2 linked regions of the Schizosaccharomyces pombe genome follow. Each later gene encodes a partner of the first gene's protein in a complex. Each region holds a gene or a part of one and is shown on either strand. Other genes may lie near its edges. The genes, in order: rrp43 and rrp40.

Evidence for each region.
Region 2: rrp43 (region 1) and rrp40 share a complex: the UniProt entries of both Schizosaccharomyces pombe proteins name them as parts of the RNA exosome complex.

What each region holds. Positions count from the first base shown.
Region 1 is NC_003423.3:3,331,182-3,334,877, reverse strand, and holds rrp43 (exosome subunit Rrp43), read left to right. Parts: upstream 1-1,932; 5' UTR 1,933-2,108; coding exon 2,109-2,152; exon of another isoform or gene 2,153-2,250; coding exon 2,251-2,586; intron 2,587-2,692; coding exon 2,693-3,125; 3' UTR 3,126-3,196; downstream 3,197-3,696. Other genes in the region: RNA polymerase I upstream activation factor complex subunit Acr1, read right to left, coding at 523-1,275; dph2 (diphthamide biosynthesis protein), read right to left, coding at 3,382-3,696. UniProt on the Schizosaccharomyces pombe protein: Non-catalytic component of the RNA exosome complex which has 3'->5' exoribonuclease activity and participates in a multitude of cellular RNA processing and degradation events.
Region 2 is NC_003424.3:1,178,261-1,181,943, reverse strand, and holds rrp40 (exosome subunit Rrp40), read left to right. Parts: upstream 1-2,003; 5' UTR 2,004-2,012; coding exon 2,013-2,735; 3' UTR 2,736-3,088; downstream 3,089-3,683. Other genes in the region: SPOM_SPAC22A12.14C (BSD domain-containing protein), read left to right, coding at 1-715; mug84 (pig-P phosphatidylinositol N-acetylglucosaminyltransferase subunit), read right to left, coding at 1,103-1,690; dihydroxyacetone kinase Dak1, read right to left, coding at 3,137-3,683. UniProt on the Schizosaccharomyces pombe protein: Non-catalytic component of the RNA exosome complex which has 3'->5' exoribonuclease activity and participates in a multitude of cellular RNA processing and degradation events.

The sequences.
Region 1 (3,696 bases):
CTATTTCCGTAGTATTTGTTATCACTTAATCTCCACATTTTTTCTACATCGGACTTCAAGTTACAGTACCACGTGCCGCCCTTATTTTAAACGAACACACCATCAGCTTTGCATAGACTGTTAAATAGCTTATACAATTTAGTAAAACTGTGTAACTTAGATATATTGGAAAACAGTATCATAACAGTAAAGATTTAACCTCAGCAAATACTTGCCACTTCCAGTTTAAAGTGTAGGATGAACTTGTAAGCATGATAAAGTTGAAACAATATTCTTGTTGCGTAGAACCTTTTTCCTAGATCAACGCAAAAACAAAATAACTTAAAAAAAAAGAAAAGAAATTCGGATGCAGAAAAACTATATGTGCAAATACGGCGGGAGTTACACAAATAATTAAACATATACATCAGCCAAAAGATGTTTACTGGAACATTAATTGTTGAGACTTACGCAGATTGACCTGTTCACAGATGCGTGTTTTTTTTCAAAATACTCATACTTATTAAATTTCCCACCAATTTCTTAATCCTCAAATTCTATCGAGATTTCTGGGTTAGAGTGTGAAACTTTTTCAATATCAATACTAGGTTGTAACGACATCTCTTTGAATAATGATTGACAAGCTCTTGTACCATTGCCCAATGCAAGAACGTCTGCTTTTTGCGACGAGGAAAACGAACCGTTTGTGACTCGAGCAAGTCCGTAAAGAATCTTCCAATCCATAGGCTTTACACGTGATTGCATGCTTTTGCTTCCCTGTTCTTGTCGAAAAGTATCAACCGAATCAAAAAGGCGTTCCAATTTTATCTGTAACCTTTCAACCAAGTATCGGAGGCCATCCGGATTAGGCAGTTCCTCAGAAGAAGCCATTCTACCCAACTTGTGTAATTTTTTTGATGCTAAACGCACAGCCAAATATGCAGCCTCTTGGCGAAACCTCGAAGCCGAGGTTCCATCAAAAAATGATTCATCGGGGATGGAATGAATTGTAGGCCATACTGCACGTAGACGTGGTGGAATCCTTCGTTCATAACCGTCCAAATCGCTTTGCAATTCATTTCGACGAGTTATACCAGCTTTATAACTGCAATAAAGTTGAATACACAAATTTTTCATCTCAGATCTTCTCAGTTCGGAAACAATTTCTCGATACTCTATTAGCTGTGCGTATAGAGCATCTTGCTTTCGCATTTCTTTTTCATCCGAAGTATCCTGAGAAGAGGAAATATCCTCTTGACTTCCTTGCTGCTCTAATTCTTCCTCAGAATCATTCATAGCATCATTTCCTCAGAAGGTTTAGCATCCGGCTGTTGTGTTCGTAGGCTAGAGGTTAAGGAAAGGTCATTGTACCTGGCGCGATATTAAGTGTGTTTACTGACTTTTTTTTTTAATTTCCTTTAACTATAATCTAATAGAAAAAAACTTTTCCTTTTTTTTATTAATATAAGACTTTTGCTTCGTCTAACAACCGATAAACTAAGAGTGTGCAAATTTTGAAATATAAACATGCACCCAAATAACTTACTTTAATTTAAGAGCTATATATTATGCTACTTACCAAATTCCGTATGTATTCTGCTGACTTTTAATTGTTTAATTATGCCTTATTTTCTTTAACCATGGATCATTGTAAATTTTGTTATTTTACCTTTTTTTAAAAAAAAAAAAATCAGTAGAAAAGGCCTTAAATAAATTTTTTTCGAATTAGCATTTTTAAATGTTAATTATGTGATCTCTTTTTTCAAAATCGTTTAAACGAATTGGGATTTTGTAGCTAAAATTCAAATGAATTATCAATCCTTAATTGAAATTTGCACCGAATATACCTTCAATAAATTAAAAAAAAACCAAGGAATTTAAACATTTTAAGGACCTCACAAACCTTTTATTTACCATATAAGTTTTTCATACTTTACTTCGTACACCTATTTCATCCCTCTACTCCATTTCATAATTTCAACCTGTAGACAAAATTCAGCACATATATCGAATTCTTGTGATTCATATTCATTTTATATATTTTTCAGTATCGTTCTTCAGTTATTTGGTCTTTCTACGTTACTATATCATTTAGCTTCGTTATTGAAACACTACATTCTTTTCACATCATGAAAACTGTTTCGGGGGTAAAACAGCTTTCATTTACACCTTCGTAAGTTGCTCTTTGATTTCTTATTCTATCTTTTTTAGTGCTCTGTTTCCTTTTCACTTTGTTTTTCTTTGTTACAGTACTAACATTTTACTGGATAGAATTTTTAAGAAAATCACGCCTGAGCAGTATTTATCACATCTTCTTAATCAGGATGTTCGATCAGATGGGCGGTCTGTATCAGAATTCAGAGAAATTGTAATTAATGATAATTGCATATCTACTGCTAATGGTAGTGCTATCATTCGAGCTGGCGAAAATGTCTTTGTGTGTGGAATAAAAGCAGAAATTGCTGAACCTTTTGAAAACTCTCCCAATGAAGGTTGGATTGTTCCCAATCTTGAATTATCACCTCTTTGCAGTAGCAAATTTAAACCTGGCCCTCCTTCTGACTTGGCGCAAGTTGTCTCGCAGGAATTGCATCAGACTTTGCAACAGTATGTATCAAATTATTGGAATTTTTCTAATTTTCTACCATACGTTTCATTTATTGTTAAACTATCATTTAGAATATTTAGTTACTTTTACTAACAACTTATACAGATCTAACTTGATTAATTTACAGTCCCTATGCATTTTTGAAAAAAAAGCAGCCTGGGTATTGTATGCTGATATTATTTGTTTAAATTATGATGGAAGTGCCTTCGATTATGCATGGGCAGCTTTGTTTGCCGCTTTAAAAACTGTTAAATTACCAACTGCTGTTTGGGATGAAGATTTAGAGAGGGTTATCTGTGCTTCTACCCTTACAAGACCAGTTCAATTAAGTACTGAAGTTCGTTCTTTCTCATGGTCAGTATTTGACGACAAGTTGTTAGCCGACCCTACAGACGAGGAGGAGGACCTTTCAACTGAATTTTTGACAATTATGCTTAATAGCTCCAAAAATATTGTTAAGATAATAAAGCTTGGAGGCACTCACATTCAACCCCTTTTATTAAAAAAGTGTATTGAGGTTGCAAGGTCTAAGTTCTAACAAATTTTTGGGTTATCAAGGTGTATAAATTTTGAAAGTTTGAAAATATTCAAGTTCGTTTTTAATGCTTGAAACGTAATATTGATCTTGCTGTAATATAAAATACTATAGTCATAAAGCTAATTGATTTTCAAATGCTGTAGGAAATTTTTTTTATATAACTTATGAACCCTGTTTATCTCCTTTAACCAGTAAACTTTTTTTTGTCAAACTCTAAAACACAAGCATAGGAAGAATGATCAACTCAATACCCGATTTATTTACCAAAATCACGTTGAATCTTTTCTTTGCTGCCTTCACCAACATATCCTTTGGCGATGCCACTCTGTCCTTCGTATAATTTACTAGGACCTTCTCCTTCATCTACACTGTCAAGTCCCGACCAAGATTTTGACTGAAGAAACGCCGCTGCTGGAGAGTAAACCCCGTTCACTGCAAGACTTCTCATGCCACGCTTTTCTATAGAGGCTGAGGACGAGTCATTATTCTTTGCATCGGCAGTCTCAAGAGTAACGTCTAAATGTCGCATCGGGGTTGAATTCACAAACTTTCCAGTAATCAGACTAAAGTG
Region 2 (3,683 bases), on another chromosome or scaffold:
AGCATTGCAGATATCACCCAAAGAAGACGATGTATCGACTCCTACACACGAAGCCTCTTCGTCTGTTTTCTTAAATCGCCACGAGAGACAGTTGTTGGAACTTGTTCAAAACGAAAATACTTTTACCCAAATTATCTCTGAACCCTCTCATGGGATCACGTTTGAAAGCTGGGAAAAAGAAATTTCCATTGATGGGAAAACTGAAGAGATCTCTTTACTTTTGGAAGAATATCCTGATTTAAGGAAACAGATGGAATCTTTAGTACCTTCTGAAGTTTCTTATGATGATTTTTGGAAACGATTTTTTTGGCATAAAGAGGTTGTACAGCCGATAAAGGCAATTCAATCAGGAAACGATGAAGAAGAAATTTTTAGTTGGGGAGATGAAAGAAGTGATGAAGAAGAAAGTGACAATGAACAGGTTAATGATGAAAAAAAGCAATCAAGTGAAGAAGATACTACTGAGAATAATTCAGCAGCTGAAGTGATAGATGAAACCGTCAATGATTTGGAGTCAGCAGTTTCAAAAGGCTTACAAATTGAAACTCAACCCGCAAGCCATGATGGAGAGGTTGATGGAGAAGTTAAAGAAGAAGAGGAAAATAAAGTATCATCTTCCAGTAATATAGAAGCTTCTCAAAGTTCTCTTGAGGTGAAGGATGAAGCAAATAGAAAAGTTGATGACGATGATGAAGACGATGATGACTGGGAATAACGACTCTCGTCAAACTATTAAAAAGAGATATACTGTTTTTACTTCTCTTCTATTCATTTACTTGTTTTGGTGTGTTTTGTTCGTATAGCTAATTATTTGTCTGAAAACATTTTGTTTACGAACAACTCTTAGGTATATTATTAGCGGAATATAAAAAACATCTAATCTTGAGTATGCAGGTTGGAGTAGTAGGACTAGAGCATTAATCAACCTTCTTATAATATTATACATTTACATATACTTTTTGATTGTGAAACTTAAGGAAACCAGGATTTAAAAGTAAATCTGTATGGGTCGACGACATCAATAGATAATAAGTCCCTTAAATAATGAAGATTTTTAAGGAGAAAATGAATTCTGATATCACTTAGCTGCTTTTAGTCTTTTTTAAGTTTCTTCCAGTTGTTGTTTATTCACATCACATAGGCGAAGATCAACAACTCGACCATGAGCAGCACCATCTTCTTCACCAACGAGTGCGTATTGATCAACGATACATTCTAAGCTGCTAAATGGCTTAGTCAATACTTCGGTATTGTAAGCGTTTAGCACAACGTGAATGTAAATAACAAGAACAAATAACCAAGTAGGAATAGCTAGAGCCCACCAACGAGATAGATAATAATGAATCTCAAAAAATTTGAGAACAGGCGCAGGCGTCAGAGCCCAAACAATATACACGCCGAACCCCAACATTGACACCAAATACATCACGAACCCGTAATACTCATAAGTAGGAACTTTTACCATTATATCCCAATCTTGTTGATCAATTTCTGCAATGGCAGTTCCCTCTTCATCAGGCGTTGTAGACCTCGTTCGAAACATCGTAGTCAAAGATGGCGACGGTGGAACCAACATCGGATGTCCGTAAAACGGAGGATCAAAAACAGTAGTTTGCCTTACATCTTCTATCTCTCCTTCAGCAGAACCCTCTATCCCTTTTATGAACGTGGAATGATGAGTAAGTGTCATCCAAACATGTGTTTACTATGTGCATTTGTTAGATGAGAGCGCGTACTGAGATGATACAAATACAACTACGTCTGCTTACGATGTGATTAAATTCGATATCCCTATTAACGACATACATACAGAAAATCCTCGTAAACAGCATTATAGCACAATGTACGTTTGCGTTATTTTTCACAGTCTGGGCTAATGTGATTTATAAAATTAACGAGATTTACAGTATTAGTTTAGACACACTTACCGTCCAAGACATTAATCCTCGAATTATAGTGTATAACTCGCGAAAAATCAAACCCCAAATAGCTAATTTTCTTCTGTTAACCAAATGGCTGAAGTTGAAGAAAAAGGTCTGTTATCTTATTACTTTCCTGGTGAGCGGATACCAGACTCCATAATTAGTCAGGATGGATCAATTCGTTTAGGTCCTGGTTTAGTCTTTCAAAAGAAAGACCGTGAAGAAGAAATAGTGGTCTCAAAAGCTGGGAGGTTGCATCAAACTGGAAAAAATGCTATGTTGATAGACTCACGGACAAAAAGATATATTCCTGCTACAAATGATCAAGTTATTGGGCAAATTATTTCTAGATTTGCGGAAGGTTATCGAGTAGATATTGGGTCAGCTCATATTGCTCAATTGAATGCATTGGCTTTTGAAAATGTGACTCGTAAAAGTAGGCCCAATTTAAATGTTGGAAGCCTTGTGTATGCTCGAGTATCACTCGCTGATCGTGATATGGAACCGGAGTTAGAATGTTTCGATGCTACCACAGGGAAAGCTGCAGGATATGGTGAACTTAAAAACGGTTATATGATAACAGGTTTATCTTTATCTCATTGTAGGAAGTTGATCCTTCCTAAAAATACACTTTTACAGACCCTAGGAAGCTACATTCCTTTCGAAATTGCTGTTGGAATGAATGGTCGCGTTTGGGTCAATTCTGAAAATCTTTCTACTACGGTCCTCATTTGTACAGCTATCAGAAATTGCGAATTCATGTCTGATGAAGAGCAAATAAAGTACTGTAAAGACCTTATTAAAAAGCTCTAACGAGATTCAGAAAAAAAAATTTGAATAATATGCACAGTCTATTTAACAATTCTTGTCCAATTGGGTTTAATTCAAAAATGGTTTGCCCTTATCTAGGAGGGACCATTTCTGAATAAAGTGTATTGTTTCTTCTTTAATGCCTGTGTCTAATATTCCCATACAATTTCTGTCGTTCTTTTATTTATTACAGCAGCGTGTTCATACAATATCTACACTCGTCCTTTCTCAACTGTTTTAATTAAAAAATTACTTATTATAATGCATGAATATACAAATACAGATGCAAAGATAAGTAAGCAATAATTAATGCATGCATAATGAAAATATAATTGTTATTCGTGCTCGTAAATAGTTTTTAAGATCATACCAATTCTACAATCCCAAAAAAATTTCGTATCCAATTATTTCGTAAATCCTTCGACAATTGCAACGACACCAAGAGCGCCGGCATCGGGAACTTTAACATCATCACCAACGTAGACAGCACGTCCAAGTTTGGCTTGCATATCTGCAGTAGCATCAGCACCTTTACGAGCCTCCTCTACGGCAGCATTAAGATCATTAGTTTTAACAAATGTTTCGACAAATGGAACAAGAGCATCACACATAGTGCTGTCACCAGGACGAGCGGGAGTATACTTGAAAAGAGTATCAAGAGCAACCTTCAAACCAGCAGCCCATGTCTTAGATGAAATGTCCTTGCTCTTCTCCAAGGTGTCTTTCATGCCCTTCGCAAAGCCATGGAAGAAAATGGCGTACAAAGCACCAGATGTACCATCCATATTGTCTTCAATAACATCTGCGATATCACGAACAATACGAATAGGATCGTCAGAGAATTTGTCGGATTTAACAAACTTCAAAACACCTTCAGCACCACGCTTCAAAGTAGTACCACAGTCACCATCACCAGCCATCGTATCGAACTTTGTAATTTTAGGCTCTGCT